Macaca fascicularis: one gene and its partners. The protein of the gene in region 1 purifies or fractionates together with the protein of each later gene. This does not show direct contact. Links are inferred from orthologs where the notes say so. Each region holds a gene or a part of one and is shown in the gene's direction. Other genes may lie near its edges.

Evidence for each region.
Region 2: the proteins of ARID1A (region 1) and SMARCD2 purify together in Homo sapiens (affinity purification with mass spectrometry; 7 studies listed by BioGRID and IntAct, with this or other methods). This does not show direct contact. The link is inferred for Macaca fascicularis from reciprocal best matches to the Homo sapiens genes ARID1A and SMARCD2.
Region 3: the proteins of ARID1A (region 1) and ACTL6A purify together in Homo sapiens (affinity purification with mass spectrometry; 5 studies listed by BioGRID and IntAct, with this or other methods). This does not show direct contact. The link is inferred for Macaca fascicularis from reciprocal best matches to the Homo sapiens genes ARID1A and ACTL6A.

Annotation. Positions count from the first base shown.
Region 1 is NC_088375.1:208,411,557-208,416,455, reverse strand, and holds the start of ARID1A (AT-rich interactive domain-containing protein 1A), read left to right. Parts: upstream 1-1,564; 5' UTR 1,565-1,936; coding exon 1,937-3,082; intron 3,083-4,899. UniProt on the Homo sapiens protein: Involved in transcriptional activation and repression of select genes by chromatin remodeling (alteration of DNA-nucleosome topology).
Region 2 is NC_088390.1:70,346,190-70,351,123, reverse strand, and holds the start of SMARCD2 (SWI/SNF-related matrix-associated actin-dependent regulator of chromatin subfamily D member 2), read left to right. Parts: upstream 1-1,532; 5' UTR 1,533-1,543; coding exon 1,544-1,759; intron 1,760-4,934. UniProt on the Homo sapiens protein: Involved in transcriptional activation and repression of select genes by chromatin remodeling (alteration of DNA-nucleosome topology).
Region 3 is NC_088376.1:91,315,045-91,320,177, forward strand, and holds the start of ACTL6A (actin-like protein 6A), read left to right. Parts: upstream 1-1,888; 5' UTR 1,889-1,985; coding exon 1,986-2,196; exon of another isoform or gene 2,197-2,252; intron 2,253-5,133.

The DNA of each region.
Region 1 (4,899 bases):
AAGAAAAGGCTGCTGCTGGGATTTGGTGGGGCCTGTAGATCAGGACAACACTGGAGTTTTCTGTGTATGTCTTGATCTTTTCAGATCCAGCTCAATCGGGGTCTCTTAGAATGTAAATGGTAAACTTTAAACAATTTTTACGCTACAGGATAGAAAACAAATCTGAGAAGCATCCATTTTCTAAGTGACTTGTTGGACTGTGCCTTTTCTTCAAGGAGAAAATGGTTTCCATTTTCTGCATCTCTCTTCTGTAATGGTTTGAACACTCAGGTTCCTGCAGTCCCTGGAGCCTCTTCTGTGGGTTTTCAGTCTTAGAAGGTACTGTCTTTGGAGACTGGGGATACTGGTCATTGTGGGCTAAGTTTTCCTGAGAGGGAGTGAAAACAGGGTTTAGGTTCTCCTGCTGGGTAACTGTTGTATGCTCCTAAAGCAACTTCAAGTGGCCTCCATTTTAAGTCAGTGGTGAGATGATCAGTTTTGACTTCAAATCCATTTTGATATTCTGATTCCATTGTTGAATGTGCTCACAACTTGACTTTTTTTTTTTTTTTTTTTTTTTTTTTAAGGCAAGTAGACCGAAGGCAGCTTTGGTGACTCCACTTCTTTTTAAAGTCACCCTCCTCTGCCCTCTGACTTTAAGTGACAGGCAGTTCCCTCCCCTCTTTCAATTCTGTAAAATGGGGATAATCCGGACCTCATGCCCCCAGAGCCTTGTGAGGACCGGCTAATGAGGGCAGGCGAGTGGGAAACGAATCATCTGAACAATGACCAGTCATTCCTTTGGGCTCGCAAAGAGGGTAAAAAGGCTGGGTCTTTAGCGGGGTCTGTAGAAGGCTTTGAAGACGAAAAGTGCTGTAGAGGTGCTAAACAGCAGCCAACGGACCGGGCCCGCTGCCAGGGGGTCAGGGCTGGGCCGAGGCGGCCGCGGTCTCGGGCTCTGGCCAATTTTGCAGTCGCGGGTAAAGTTCACGCTGCCCGCTCCCCTCGGTACGGCCGGGAGGGGACAGACCTGGATAGGGACGCCGGGAGGGAGGCGGCGCAGGCTCCAGAGATGCGCGGGCTCCGGGCCGGGTTTTCTCCGAAGCCTTCGGCGGCGGCGCTGCCTAGCGAAAGCGGCTAAGGGCCTGCCGCCGCCGCGGCTTGTTCTCTCCCCTCCTCCTTTGTGAGGGGTAGGGAGCGAGTCCGTTCCACGGCCTGCGCCCGCTCCGCTCTCCACTCCGGGTTTGCAAGGCGGCCGCGACGGCGCTGGGTAAAATGGCAGTGCTGAGCCTCGTGTCGGAGTGAGGGGGACTCGGAGGAGAGTGGGGCGCTCTAGCCGCTCAGTCCGGCCGACCGCTTTCTCGCCCGCCCGCTGCCGCGCCGCAGCCTCGACCCAAGCCGCGGCTGGCGAGGGAAGGCAGGGCGCCCGGCCCGGCCCGCGCTCTGACTCTGGCTCCCGGCGCCCGGGCTGCTGCCGCGCGCCCTCCAGCCCGCCCGTCCCGGGTCCCCCTCCCCCCGCTCCCTCCCTCCCTCCCCGCCCCCTCCCCCTCGCCTCCCTCCCTCCCTCCCTCCTCCTTTCTCCGGCAGCAGAAAGCGGAGAGTCACAGCGGGGCCAGGCCCTGGGGAGCGGAGCCTCCACCGCCCCCCTCATTCCCAGGCAAGGGCTTGGGGGGAATGAGCCGGGAGAGCCGGGTCCCGAGCCTACAGAGCCGGGAGCAGCTGAGCCGCCGGCGCCTCGGCCGCCGCCGCCTCCTCCTCCTCCGCCGCCGCCAGCCCGGAGCCTGAGCCGGCGGGGCGGGGGGGAGAGGAGCGAGCGCAGCGCAGCAGCGGAGCCCCGCGAGGCCCGCCCGGGCGGGTGGGGAGGGCAGCCCGGGGGACTCGGCCCCGGGGCGGGGTGGGAGGGGGGGAGAAGACGAAGACAGGGCCGGGTCTCTCCGCGGACGAGACAGCGGGGATCATGGCCGCGCAGGTCGCCCCCGCCGCCGCCAGCAGCCTGGGCAACCCGCCGCCGCCGCCGCCCTCGGAGCTGAAGAAAGCCGAGCAGCAGCAGCGGGAGGAGGCGGGGGGCGAGGCGGCGGCGGCGGCAGCGGCCGAGCGCGGGGAAATGAAGGCAGCCGCCGGGCAGGAAAGCGAGGGCCCTGCCGTGGGGCCGCCGCAGCCGCTGGGAAAGGAGCTGCAAGACGGGGCCGAGAGCAATGGGGGTGGCGGCGGCGGCGGAGCTGGCGGCGGCGGCGGGCCCGGCGCGGAGCCGGACCTGAAGAACTCGAACGGGAACGCGGGCCCTAGGCCCGCCCTGAACAATAACCTCACGGAGCCGCCCGGCGGCGGCGGTGGCGGCAGCAGCGATGGGGTGGGGGCGCCTCCTCACTCTGCCGCGGCCGCCTTGCCGCCCCCAGCCTACGGCTTCGGGCAACCCTACGGCCGGAGCCCGTCTGCCGTCGCCGCCGCCGCGGCCGCCGTCTTCCACCAACAACATGGCGGACAACAAAGCCCTGGCCTGGCAGCGCTGCAGAGCGGCGGCGGCGGGGGCCTGGAGCCCTACGCGGGGCCCCAGCAGAACTCTCACGACCACGGCTTCCCCAACCACCAGTACAACTCCTACTACCCCAACCGCAGCGCCTACCCCCCGCCCGCCCCGGCCTACGCGCTGAGCTCCCCGAGAGGTGGCACTCCGGGCTCCGGCGCGGCGGCGGCTCCCGGCTCCAAGCCGCCTCCCTCCTCCAGCGCCTCCGCCTCTTCGTCGTCTTCGTCCTTCGCTCAGCAGCGCTTCGGGGCCATGGGGGGAGGCGGCCCCTCCGCGGCCGGCGGGGGAACTCCCCAGCCCACCGCCACCCCCACCCTCAACCAACTGCTCACGTCGCCCAGCTCGGCCCGGGGCTACCAGGGCTACCCCGGGGGCGACTACGGCGGCGGGCCCCAGGACGGGGGCGCCGGCAAGGGCCCGGCGGACATGGCCTCGCAGTGCTGGGGGGCTGCGGCGGCGGCAGCGGCGGCGGCGGCGGCGGCGGCCGCCTCGGGAGGGGCCCAACAAAGGAGCCACCACGCGCCCATGAGCCCCGGGAGCAGCGGCGGCGGGGGGCAGCCGCTCGCCCGGACCCCTCAGGTACACAGCTGAGTGGGGAGGGGGCTGGGGCGAGCGTGGTCCTGGGGGTGGGTGGCGGCTGCGGTCAGCGGGCCACAGCCTTGGGCTCCCCTCAGTCTCGGGCCCCCACTGCTGGGGAGCTGCCATTGTCTGGCTCTTCTCTCTTAAAATGGCTGCCTGTCTGCCTTCCTCTCCTTTCCTCCTCCAGCCTTTGTGTCGGGCTTTCCCAGAGGTGTCTGCTTCTCTTGTTCCTCTCCCTTGGTCCCTTCGAACTCCAGGGGTCTTGATGGGGGTGCGGGGCAGAGTGTGTGGGGAAGGGCCTGGCCGGGAGTGAGGGGGTGCTGGGGGCTCAGGTTAGGAGTGTAGGCAGTGGTAGGAACCCAGGAGTTGAATGAACGTTTCTTTGCTCACCTGCCGCTCCTCTCCGTCCCCCGGCCTTCCTCTGGGCCGCCCCCCATCTGTGCTTTCAAAGAGGGCCCCTAGAGCTCGGAGGGACCTCGAGGGAGGGCAGGGGACTGCTTGGGAGCTGCTAGAGGCCGGCTGCGGTTCACCTAGGGCAGCCCTTGCCATCTCCTGTCTTAGGCTCCGCCGGCCCAGTGGCCTGGGCTTCTCTCTGGAAGTGCTGGTAAACAGCTGAGTGATTGGAGTAGTAAGTGCAGATTGCTTTGGTTTGGGATTTGAATTATGGAGGTAAAATCCTTCTGTCAAAGCCAGGAGACAGTTGGTCTTAGGTTGACATCCTATCTGTGATCTGATTGGCTCCCCATCTCCTGCTCTTGGCCATTTATAATTGCCTCTGATGTAATGGTACAACAATCCTGATGAGCTCATAAACTTTTACACTCTGCTTTTCTGCCAGTGATAACCCAAACCATCGCTGCCACTATCTGCCTTTTATTCCAGAGCTGAAATTGGCTGTGACCTTGAGGAGGGAGGTTTAAGTAGCAATACTGTATCAGCAGGAGCAAAGCCTCAGACAGCCTGCCCTTGTTACATTGTGCCCGAAACAAAAGAGGGGGCAATGGCATTTTGCTTGTACCTTGGATTTATTTTGCTTGTTATGTTTTATGCAGCCTGAAATGAATTCTGTGTTGTCAGAACAGTAGCTGAGTTTTTTCTCTACAATGGGTTTGCTGTTTGTTTTGGTTTTGTGACTTTCCTGATGGTATAAATGACTTCTTTGATGGCTCTGAAGATGCATTTGTCTTGAGTAATTTTGACACTGGTTGCTTTGCAGAATTGAAATGATTTTACTGGGGTTTTTATTGAGTGGCAAATGTGGGATCTTTGTGGGTGGGGGAGAAAACAATTTTCGTTTTTTAGTTTTTTCTTTTTAAGAACTGGGAGCTTTCTGAGGAATTTTATATTAGGTTCAAGCATTCTGTGTTATGGAAGGCTGGCCTCATTCTTTGTTTACATGTTGAATCTTGTTAACACTTTCTTTTGTTAATTGAACTTTGGAATAGCAGCTTAATTTAAACGGAAGTTGGTGTCTTTCATGATCTTGAGGGACTTTCTCCTAAAGGCTTGGTTTGGTGAAATTGTTTTTTCCTGGAATAACAAAAAGTCTAGTTTTCTGTTTTGTCATCAGTCATTTTAGAGCTTTGAAATAGAGACTGGCCAATTTATTCCTTTGCATTTTAATGTACCACTTTTTTTCTTGTCTTCCAAGACATGAAGATATGACCTAGAATGACACTTGAGATTAGCTTAGAAATTGCAACTTCGAAGTATCTTTTTATACTATTCTATCTTGTTTTATTTTATTGCTTTTCTTCCATTTTCATCATGCTCTGTCAGCAGTGCTTTTGGTCAGGGATACTGAGTATTCTGTGGAG
Region 2 (4,934 bases), on another chromosome or scaffold:
AAAATAAACCAATTATAGTAAAGAAAAAAAAAAAAGTCTAGATCCTGGCTTCTTGACAGTATGGTCTGAGAAGCAACAGCATCGCTGGCAGCTTGTTAGAAATGTAGAGTCCTGGGCCCTGCCACAATCTGCATTTTTAATAAGAGCCTCGGGTGTTTTTTATGTGCTCATTAGGGTTTAAGCAGCACTGGGCCGTATCACTGTGAGGAGACCCAGACCATCAAAGGGACAGCTGAAGCATTTTTGAATACTTTGATACAGCACAGTGTATCTGAAAAGATACTGCATTTTTGAAAATTAAGTGCTATAAATACTAGAGAAAGACCTCTTTTTAAACTGCAGGGAGGTTTCTCATAAGCCAAATTTCTTTTGACTAGAAGCATTTGCTGGGGAGTAAAGTACCAGGCTTCCTTATAGTGAGGCAGAGCCACGTTAAAAATGTGCTGTAAGAGCTCAGCCTTGGCCAAGTCGACCATTCACCAGCTGGGTCAAGTCTGGAGCCTCCTAGGTCCCTTGGCAGTTCCGAGCTACCAGGATGAGCTTTTACAGGAAGTTGAGTTGGCTGCTGTTCTGCCCCAGAGAGCAGCTGAGTCTTTTTTCTTTTTTTGAGGAGTTTCACTCTTGCCGCCCAGGTTGGAGTGGAGTGGAGAGATCTTGGCTCATTGCAACCTCTGTCTCCCGGGTTCAAGCGATTCTCCTGCCTCAGCCTCCCGAGTAGCTGGGATTACAGGCGCCAGCCACCACTCTCGGCTAATTTTTGTATTTTTAGTAGAGACGGGGTTTTCACCATGTTGGCCAGGCTGGTCTCGAACTTCTGACCTCAGGTGGTCCACCCGCCTCAACCTCCCAAAGTGCTGGGATTACAGGCGTGAGCCACCGCTACCGACTCTGAGTTGGGTCTTTAATGTGGAAGATGCAGAAAGGAGACTTGACAAAACTATTTTCGGTGAGGCTGCTACACCGGGAAAGAGTAGTAGCAACTGCTCATTCACTGTGAAGCCTCAACGTGACCTTAGACCTCTGACCCCGCGCCTCACTCGGCGCTTCCGCGCGCAGCTTCCGCTCCCGCCCCTCCGATGAAGGGCGGGGCCAAAGGTGGGGGGTGGGACTCTGAGGTCGGCGGTTAGGGGCGGTGCCTGCTGGGGGCGGGTCTCGCGAGGGGCGGGATTCAAGGAGGCACTCGAGCATTGGGCACCAGGTAGAGGCGGGGCCTAGTGCTGGGCTGGGTTGGGCGGGGCAGGGAGTTCGTAGCCGCCTCTGGGTAACTCGACTCGGGCGGCCAAACCTCCGGAGTCCGGGGGCGGCAGGCGGGCCCACAGCAGATCCTGGATCCGGAATCTCCGGCGCAGGAGCGGAATCTGTCCCGAACCGGGTCTGTGAGGAACTCGCGAACTTGGATTAGGAAATCCCGGAGCCCGGATCGACAAATCCCGGAACCCGGAATTAAGATCGCCAAGTCCCGGATCGCGGAGTACAGAGCGCGGAGTGGACTCGACGCGTAGCCCGGAGTCCGGATCGCGGCACCGCGGGACGGGACGGAGCGATGTCGGGCCGAGGCGCGGGCGGGTTCCCGCTGCCCCCGCTAAGCCCTGGCGGCGGCGCCGTGGCCGCGGCCCTGGGAGCGCCTCCTCCCCCCGCCGGACCCGGCATGCTGCCCGGACCGGCGCTCCGGGGACCGGGTCCGGCTGGAGGCGTGGGGGGCCCCGGGGCCGCCGCCTTCCGCCCCATGGGCCCCGCGGGCCCCGCGGGGCAGTACCAGGTGAGTAGGGAGGACGCGAGCGGACGGGGGCGTGCGGCGCCGCGAGGGCGCCCGGGCCGGGGGCTGAGGGGGCCTCGAGTGAGGGCCTTGGGGAATGCATGAGGAACTCCGGGAGACGGTGGAGGGCGGGCCAGATCCCTCGGGCTGCGGCGGGTGGCGGTGGAGGAGTGGGGAAGGGGGAGCGAGTCCTGCAGCGGAGGGCTGGAACCAGCTGGGAGGCCTGGGGGCTTCCGCGGCACAGAGATTCCGAGTGACTGGGAGATGGAGGAGTTTGGGGAACCAGTGAATTGTGGGCGGGTGGGTTGAGAAGTCTAGGGTAGGAGGGCTAGAAAGTGATGAGAAAGTTTGGGAAAGGGCCCTCGCTGAGAAACCGGGGTTACCCTGCATCGGCCTTGGTCCCACTCCAAGTCTGCCCTGTTTTTTCTGGTTGCGAACTGGCCGAGCTCTAGCGTGTCTGAGATGGCTCCCGGCTGCTAATGAGGAGGAAGGAGCCTGGCTTCCCACGGGCACGGGACGCTGAGGCTACTAGGGCCAGGGGATTCATTCCAGCTTGTGCACGGGCGGACTTTACTCCAGAGGCAGGGCCAGGCGCCTTCGCTGGGGAGGACTCCAGCTTAGACCAGAGACGGTGGTGGCCAGGCTTGAGGGGAGGCCCAGCCTAGTCAAAGGCCGGCTCTCTTCTGGGCTTTCTGCCTCCTGTCATCGTGTCGGGTAGTTGATTAGTCTGGACGTGCAGAGTGGAACCCTGCTGGTCTGGGGCCCGAGGAGTCTGCGAGAGTTGCTTCAAAGAGTGCTGTCCTGACCCCTTTGGGGTTTTGAGAGCTGCTCAGGTTTCAGCTTCAAAAGCCCTTGGAAGGCAGCGACTTCTGCTCAGTGTGTGAGAACCTCAGCCTGACCCTGCTGGTCCCCTAGTCTGCTGTTCAGGTTGCACCAGCAGGCTTGGAAACTGTGCCCATCTGCCTTATCATCCTCTCTGCATTTTTATTTGGCCTTCAGGTTCTAACTCCGCCACATCCGAAGCCATATGCCCCAGCATTTGACACTGGCTTCTCCCAGGGTCTGCTGTGGGCTTCCTCTGTTTTCGACTCCTGTCTCCAGGCGGAGGTCCTTAGGGATCCTCGTGGAGTATACACAGCCTACCTGCCCCACTGGGCCTCACATCTAAGGAGATGGCTTAACTAGGGACAGTGACTGGATTTTTTTCCCTTCTTCCTCCTCATTCTTCCTCCTTTCTCAAGAGAAAACAGAGTCTGGATATGGGCAGAGACAGACCTGGTCCCAGGGACTCCAGCTGGGGCTCATCTTTCCCACCCTACTCTCCCCCTTGGGGATTCATGGGCCCAGGGTGTTGCTGAGGGCTCCCTGCATCAGTCATTGTAGCCCTTGGGCCTGCCCACTGAGACCTGGCCTGGGCACCATCTGTGGGCCTTTGGCCTTGGAAGGACCTGGAACAGACAAGCCGCTCCAGTTTCCTTGGCATGCAAAAAGTCATAGGAAATGTGCCCTTGAGACAGCCCCTAAGAGAATGGATTCCACATGTTTGGTGGGGGGTGGCCTTGGGCTTGTGGCAAGGCCAAGCTGGCTGGCTGGTTAGGCCTGGGCTGCTAGCTGTGGGGAAGTAGGAGATGGCCCTGAGTCTGGGTTTCCCATCCCACTAGCTTTCCTCCTCTTGGCAGGAGAGGTAGATGGTACAGAGAACCCAGCCAGCTAACTTTGGCTGAGTTTGAAGAGGATCCTACTTGCTCTCTTTCCAAGTCCAGTTGTATGACTTCCAGGAGAAGGGACTTGAGATCTGGGAAACAGAGGGGTTCCTGTCTGTTAGGGCTCATGAGATGTGCTGGAAAAGCGAGAATTTGAGGCCCAAGCTGAACAAATAGTTGAAAGAAGGGAAGTGATGACCTCCCTTCCTCCAGAGGGTGGTTCTGGCTGTGGATCACAGTTAACAGAGGAACCTAAAACAAAAACAACAACAAAAAACCCTCCAGGGCAGGATGTGGTGGCTCACACCTATAATCCTAGCACTTTGGGAGGCCCAGACAGAAGGATTACTTGAGATCAGGAGTTCAAGACCAGCCTAGGCAACATAGTGAGACCATAATTTCTCAAAAAAAAAAAACCCAAAAAAATTTAGCCAAACTTGGTGGTGTGCGCTTATGGTCCCAGCTAGTCGGGATGCTGTGGCAGGAGGATTGCCTGAGTCCAGGAGTTCAAGGCTGTATTGAGCTATGATCCTGCCACTGCACTCCAGCCTGGGCAACAAAATAACAAAAACCTCAGATTTCTGGGTTCACTCCAGAGAGTTCAAAAAGTTCAAAATCTTTTTTTTTTTTTTTTTTTTTTTTGAGACGGAGTCTCACTCTGTCGCCCAGGCTGGAGTGCAGTGGCATGATATCAGCTCACTGCAACCTCCACCTCCCAGGTTCAAGCAATTCTCTGCCTCAGCCTCCTGAGTAGCTGGGATTACAGGTGCCCGCCACCATGCCCGGCTAATTTTTTTTGTGTTTTCAGTAGACACGGGGTTTCACCATCTTAGCCAGGATGGTCTTGAACTCCTGACCTTGTGATCCACCTGCCTCGGCCTCCCAAAGTGCTGGGATTATAGGTGTGAGCCACCGCGCCCTGCCTCAAAATCCTTTTTACTCATGGGAGAGTGGTGGTATGTTCCCCAACTGAGGCCCTCAGGCCCAGGTTCCAGAGCATCAGGGCCACATTTGGGGCAGGGCAAAGCATGCTCACTGGAGCCCTGGATTCCTCATCTGGGGTTCAGGGGATTGATCCAGGCCTACCTGATCCTGTTGCAAGCAGGGAGTTAGGGAGGCTCAGAGTTCTGGACTGTTTTTTGTTTGTTTTTCCTAACTCCTGAGTTGTTTTTGTTTTTTGTTTTTTGAAGGGGGAGGAGTTGCTAGCACCTATAAGCCCAGGTATGGAGCTTAGCAAAGCTCAGCTAGAATTTGAACTGTTAGCAGCCTTCCCCTGGGGTCCTGAGTGAGCTGGGGGCTCTGGGCCCGGGAAGCCTGGAGCAGATGTCTAGGTGGAGCCTATTCCAGGCCCTGCCTGTGCAGCCTTGTCTTAGGACTTCCTGTTACCAGAGCACCTGCCCAGGAGGGATGGGTGGTGCTGCAGGTTCTGTGAACGCTGCAGCGGGAAGCTTCCTGGGGACCATAGGGCCCTCGCT
Region 3 (5,133 bases), on another chromosome or scaffold:
CAAATCATTACTTTTAACCTTTACTCCTCGTATCCTTAAAGCCTCTTTTAATTGTCCTACATAGATTTGATGTTGACTTAATTCTTGTCCCATTTCGGACGCGTCACTTACCTTCGATTCTGACGCGGCAGGTTCCCGCGGTGATTGGAGGAGTTTAACTTCTTTCGTCTTTGTTAACGATCGACCGGTCTTTCGCGTCCTCTTCCTCACGGAGTCCCTCGTTTCCAGGCCTCACGTTTGGGCGCCACGAGTCCCAGCCCACGGGATCGTCAAAGCAGGCCCTGGAAGAGGGGGGTGGGAATTTGGGGAACAAGAGACACTAGAAATGGAGACAAGACAGTATCCTGATCAAGTCTCGTTTAATGGCGGTAATGCAATGCCTTATATACATTTGGAGGGGAAGGGGTTGGGCTAAGGCGGAAATTACCTAAAAAAGGAAGGCGTGGCCAGATAAGCCTCGGTTTCTCCGGTCGGACTTCATGTTGCGCCTGCGCAGTCAGGTAGTCTTTTCGCAGGCGCGGGAAAAAAGAATGAAAAAGAAGCAGGAAGAGCGCCATCTTTTAATGGCAGTATTAATACAGGGAAGAAGGTAAATCTAGGGAGAAGGTGTGGGGTGGAAATGAATATAGCTCAGGCGTTTAATCTTTAATTATTATTCACTATGGCCGGGGCGTGCAGCTCCGGACACTCCACCTCCTGGGTTCAAGCGATTCTCCTGCCTCAGCCTCCCAAGTAGCTGGGACTACAGGTGTGTGCCACCACGCCCAGCTAATTTTCGTATTTTTAGTAGAGACGGGGTTTCACTGTGTTGACCAGGCTGGTCTCGAACTCCTGACCTCGTGATCTACCCGCCTCGGCCTCCCAAAGTGCTGGGATTACACGGGTGAGCCACCACACCCGGCCTGAAATTTTTTTTTTTTTTTTTTAAGAAATTGATTTTTTAAATCGTTTTTAAAGCGCTACCTAGGTTTAGCTGGGATAATGCATCATTTCATTCTTCTTTTACTTATTAATAACCATTTAAAAAATTACAAGATCCTATCAATTTGTCTGATTTACTGATTCCCCTATCCCAAAGTGGAGCGCAAAATTTTTATTTCTTCAACCTAAAGTTAGTTTAAAATACTTTTTCTGAAGAAAAAAAGAAAGAAATCCACATTGCCCACAGTCACTGGACAGGAATCTCAGCGTTGAGACACACGTTCAATTTCCAGAAGTCTACCTTCCCCTACCCAGGTTCCCGCAGCTCCTCAGCGCCCAGCCGCACCTCTTACGCCCCTCCCATGCTTCCCTCCAGCCTTCCTCCTTCTTCTCCCACTGCCTCCGCCCACTCTCTCGCCCACCCGGGAAGCTCCGCCCGCTTCAGCTCCGCAACCCAACTCCTTCTGTCCGGCTGTCGCTTTCCTCTTTCCCCGCCCCCATGGCTGCCTTCGATTGGCTAAACCTGCTGGGCCGCGGCGGGGATGCGGCGCAGCCGCATTCTGATTGACTAAACGTAGGCCTGGACCCTCGTGATTGGCTGATAGGAGGAGACAGCAAGTGTAGCTGAGCTCCGGGGTGTGTGGACGCCGCTTTGTTGCCTGAGGGGGGTGGCGGTGGAAGTTAAGGGAGTCAGGGGCTATCGCTTCTCGGGACTCGCAGTCGGGGCCACTGCAGTCACTTCTCCAGTTAGCCCTTAGGGTAGGGGTCGCGCCGGCAGCAGCCATGAGCGGCGGCGTGTACGGGGGAGGTGAGTGAGTGCGGCCGGAGGAGAGAGCGCGCGTTTTCGGCGTGTGGGGTTTGTAACCGCCGCTCCCAGCCCTCCCCTCCTCGGCGTTCCCTTCCGGTTTCCCCCTCTCGGGACCCCGGCCTCCCCGCCCCATCCCCGCCCCACGCTCTGCCCGCCCCCGGAGCCCACCAGGCTCGGCCAGCGCCTCGGGCGCCCTGGAGTGGTGGCTCTCTGTGGCCGGTTCCTGCCTCTGCCCCCGGAGAAGCAGGGTTTTGGGATGCACGCTCGTTTCTCTAGAGAGCCTCGGGGCTGGGCGGGAAGCTCAGTCCAGCCGGCCGCCGGGCCCGGCTTGCGTTACCGCCCCAGGGTCGCATCTCCACGAGTGCCTCCTGGACTCGGCTGTGTCGGGGCGCATGTGCTCGCGCCTAAACTTGGAAGGTCCCGGCGGTTTGCAAGCGTGGACGGAGGGTTCCCAGAGCGTCTCACAGGTGGCAATGCGAGCCTCAAGCCGTAGAACTGACTAGGGAAGCGGCGGCCACTTAGGGTACTGCCTCCTCCCTGTCTGTGCCCCATGCGCGAGCTGCCTCACCTTTCAGTAACTCCTGCCTGTTTGTTGGCTGCGGAGTCTCCAGAGTGACTCGTGGGCGGGTCTGTTTGAGATTAATTCAGGAGCACGTGTAGTTTAAGGATGCCCAGAAAGTTTGCCGGGGGTCCTAGACGTCTTGTTTTTTCACTTATCCTTGATTAGACTGGTATGGCAGAAAGATTACCAGGTGCGGGGGGTTACAGACCTGAGTTGAAATATCCGCCTCACTGTTGAGCGCTTTGGTCTTAGGCAATTTACATAATTTTCCAACTTCAGGCCTCATTTGTGGAATAATTCCTAGCCAATGGGGATGGGCGTGAAGGTTAAATGAAATAATGCTACATTTGCCACTTAAAGTCTGGTCCATGGACCAGCAGTGTCAGCATCACCTGCAAGCCTGTTAGAAATGCAGAATCTCACGCGTCATTCAAAATCTACTGATTTAGAGCCTCCATTTTTGCAAGATCTGCAGGTGAATCAAAACACTGATACATATAATTAATGTTTTGGGTTGTGTTTGATGAGTTAGAGACCCAGAAAACAAATCCAGACTATTGCTATTGTTGCTGTGTCTAGTAGTGATGCTGTTTCTATAAAGGATGTCATTTTACAGGTAAGATACAACAAAAATAAGATTTTTCCTTCATGTTCCCCAAGAAAATCACATCACCCCTAAACTTGGAAGGAGAAAAACATTTAAATCCTCAAAAAAGAAAAAAAAGCCTTTTTAGTAGAATAGAGGTTCAATTTTTTTTTTTTTTTTTTTTTTTTTTTTTTTTTTTGAGACGGAGTCCTGCTCTGTCGCCCGGGCTGGAGTGGGCTGGAGTGCAGTGGCCGGGTTTACGTCATTCTCCTGCCTCAGCCTCCCGAGTAGCTGGGACTACAGGCGCCCGCCACCTCGCCTGGCTAGTTTTTCTGTATTTTTTAGTAGAGACGGGGTTTCACCGTGTTAGCCAGGATGGCCTCGATCTCCTGACATCGTGATCCGCCCGTCTCGGCCTCCCAAAGTGCTGAGATTACAGGCTTGAGCCCCCGCGCCCGGCCGAGGTTCAATTCTTGAGGATTTTTATACACTAGAAATTGCATCCTAGGTTTTAAACATCCAGAACTCTGTGGTTCTTTCTACTAAGCCTCCTGCCTCCCATTGCCACTCTCCTACTTAGGGTTCATGGGGCTTGATTTTTAATGAAGCAGGGTACAGGAATTAGATGTATCTCCCATCCTGAAAAAGGAACAGATGTAAAATTCTAAGAATTTAGAGTCTTAAATTAAACTTCCACCATATCCAGTTTACTAATTAGGGCAGGAAAATGAGCTGATATGTTGGATTTTTTTCTATTTCACAAAAATGTTTTTTGAGCACTATGTGGCAGGTATAGGCTGTTGTCATCAAGAAGTTCAGTCTTGTAGATGAATCCGTTAGGTAAATAGACACCATATTTCACCGATTCTTAATTGTACATTTTTCCCACATTTAAACAGCTGAAGTTGGAATATGTCTTTTGTTTGTTTGTTTGTTTTTAATAGAGACGGGTCTTGAACTCCTGAGCTCAGGCAGTCCTCCCGCCTCAGCCTCCCAAAGTGCTAGGATTACAGGTTTGAGCCACTGCCCCCAGCCAGAATATGTCTCAGTAGTGCTGGCCTGGCAGAGTTTTAATTGCCATATTATTTTCTTAGTGATGCCGGAAATAGTGGTGCATCATGTAGTTGATAGCATCTTATATTGATCAGAAATGGTAACTGTAATTCAATGAGAGCTGTTCATTGATAACAATATGTAGAAGGGGCCAGGTGCGGTGGCTCACACCTGTAATCCCAACAACTTGGGAGGCTGAGGCGGGCGGATCACTTGAGGCCAGGAGTTCAAGATCAACCTGGCCAACATGACAAAACCCTGTCTCTACTAAAAATACAAAAATTAGCCAGGCATGGTGGCACATGCCTGGAGTCCCAGCTACTGGGGAGGCTGAGGCACAAGAATCACTTGAACCCGGAACTGCACTCCAGCCTGGGTGACAGAGCAGGACTGTATCCTAAAAAAACAAAAACAAACATATATATTTATATATGTTATATATAATTTATATATATAATATATATAATTTTTATGTTATATATGTTATATATATTTATATGTTATATATTTATATATGTTATATATATTTACATATGTTATATATATATAGTGCAAAAGTAGTTCAGAGAATAAAGTTATTGATTCCATGTGGTGGAGTCAAGGGACTTTACAATAGAGGTAATGGAGATGATGGAGGAGGAGTGGAAAGGGACAACATATGCAAAGGTTAGCTGAGAGTATGTGGTGTGTTCAGGAGATGACATATTACCCAGTAAGTCAGTGTATGAGGCAGGAAGTGAGACTGCTACCAGATATTGCTACGCCTTGAATTTCAACTGGCTAGAGTGATTTAAATTTTATCAAATTCAATGATGAGAAACCACGGAATGATTCACCCCCTTATTTTTGTTGAAGGATTTATGTACCAAAATAATGACAGTTACAATATTGAAAGATCACAGTGCAGCAGTTGGAAGGGTAGATTTAAGAGGCAAAGAGGTGGAGGCACGGTATCTGTAGGGAATTGTAGTTTCCCTGTTGAGATAAGAGCTTGATTGAAGGCAGGGGCAATGGTATTTAAAAGGAGGGGATTTGAGAAATACTTAGCAGAAATATTTGGCAGAACTTGAAAGATGGAGGTGTTCACAACAACTCTCAGCTTTTTGCCAATGTGGACTGTGGTCAGCAATGTGTTAGGCAATGCTGAGATGAGCAGTGCTTCAGATGTGTTGAATTTGAGATACCCATGAGACATCAGATACA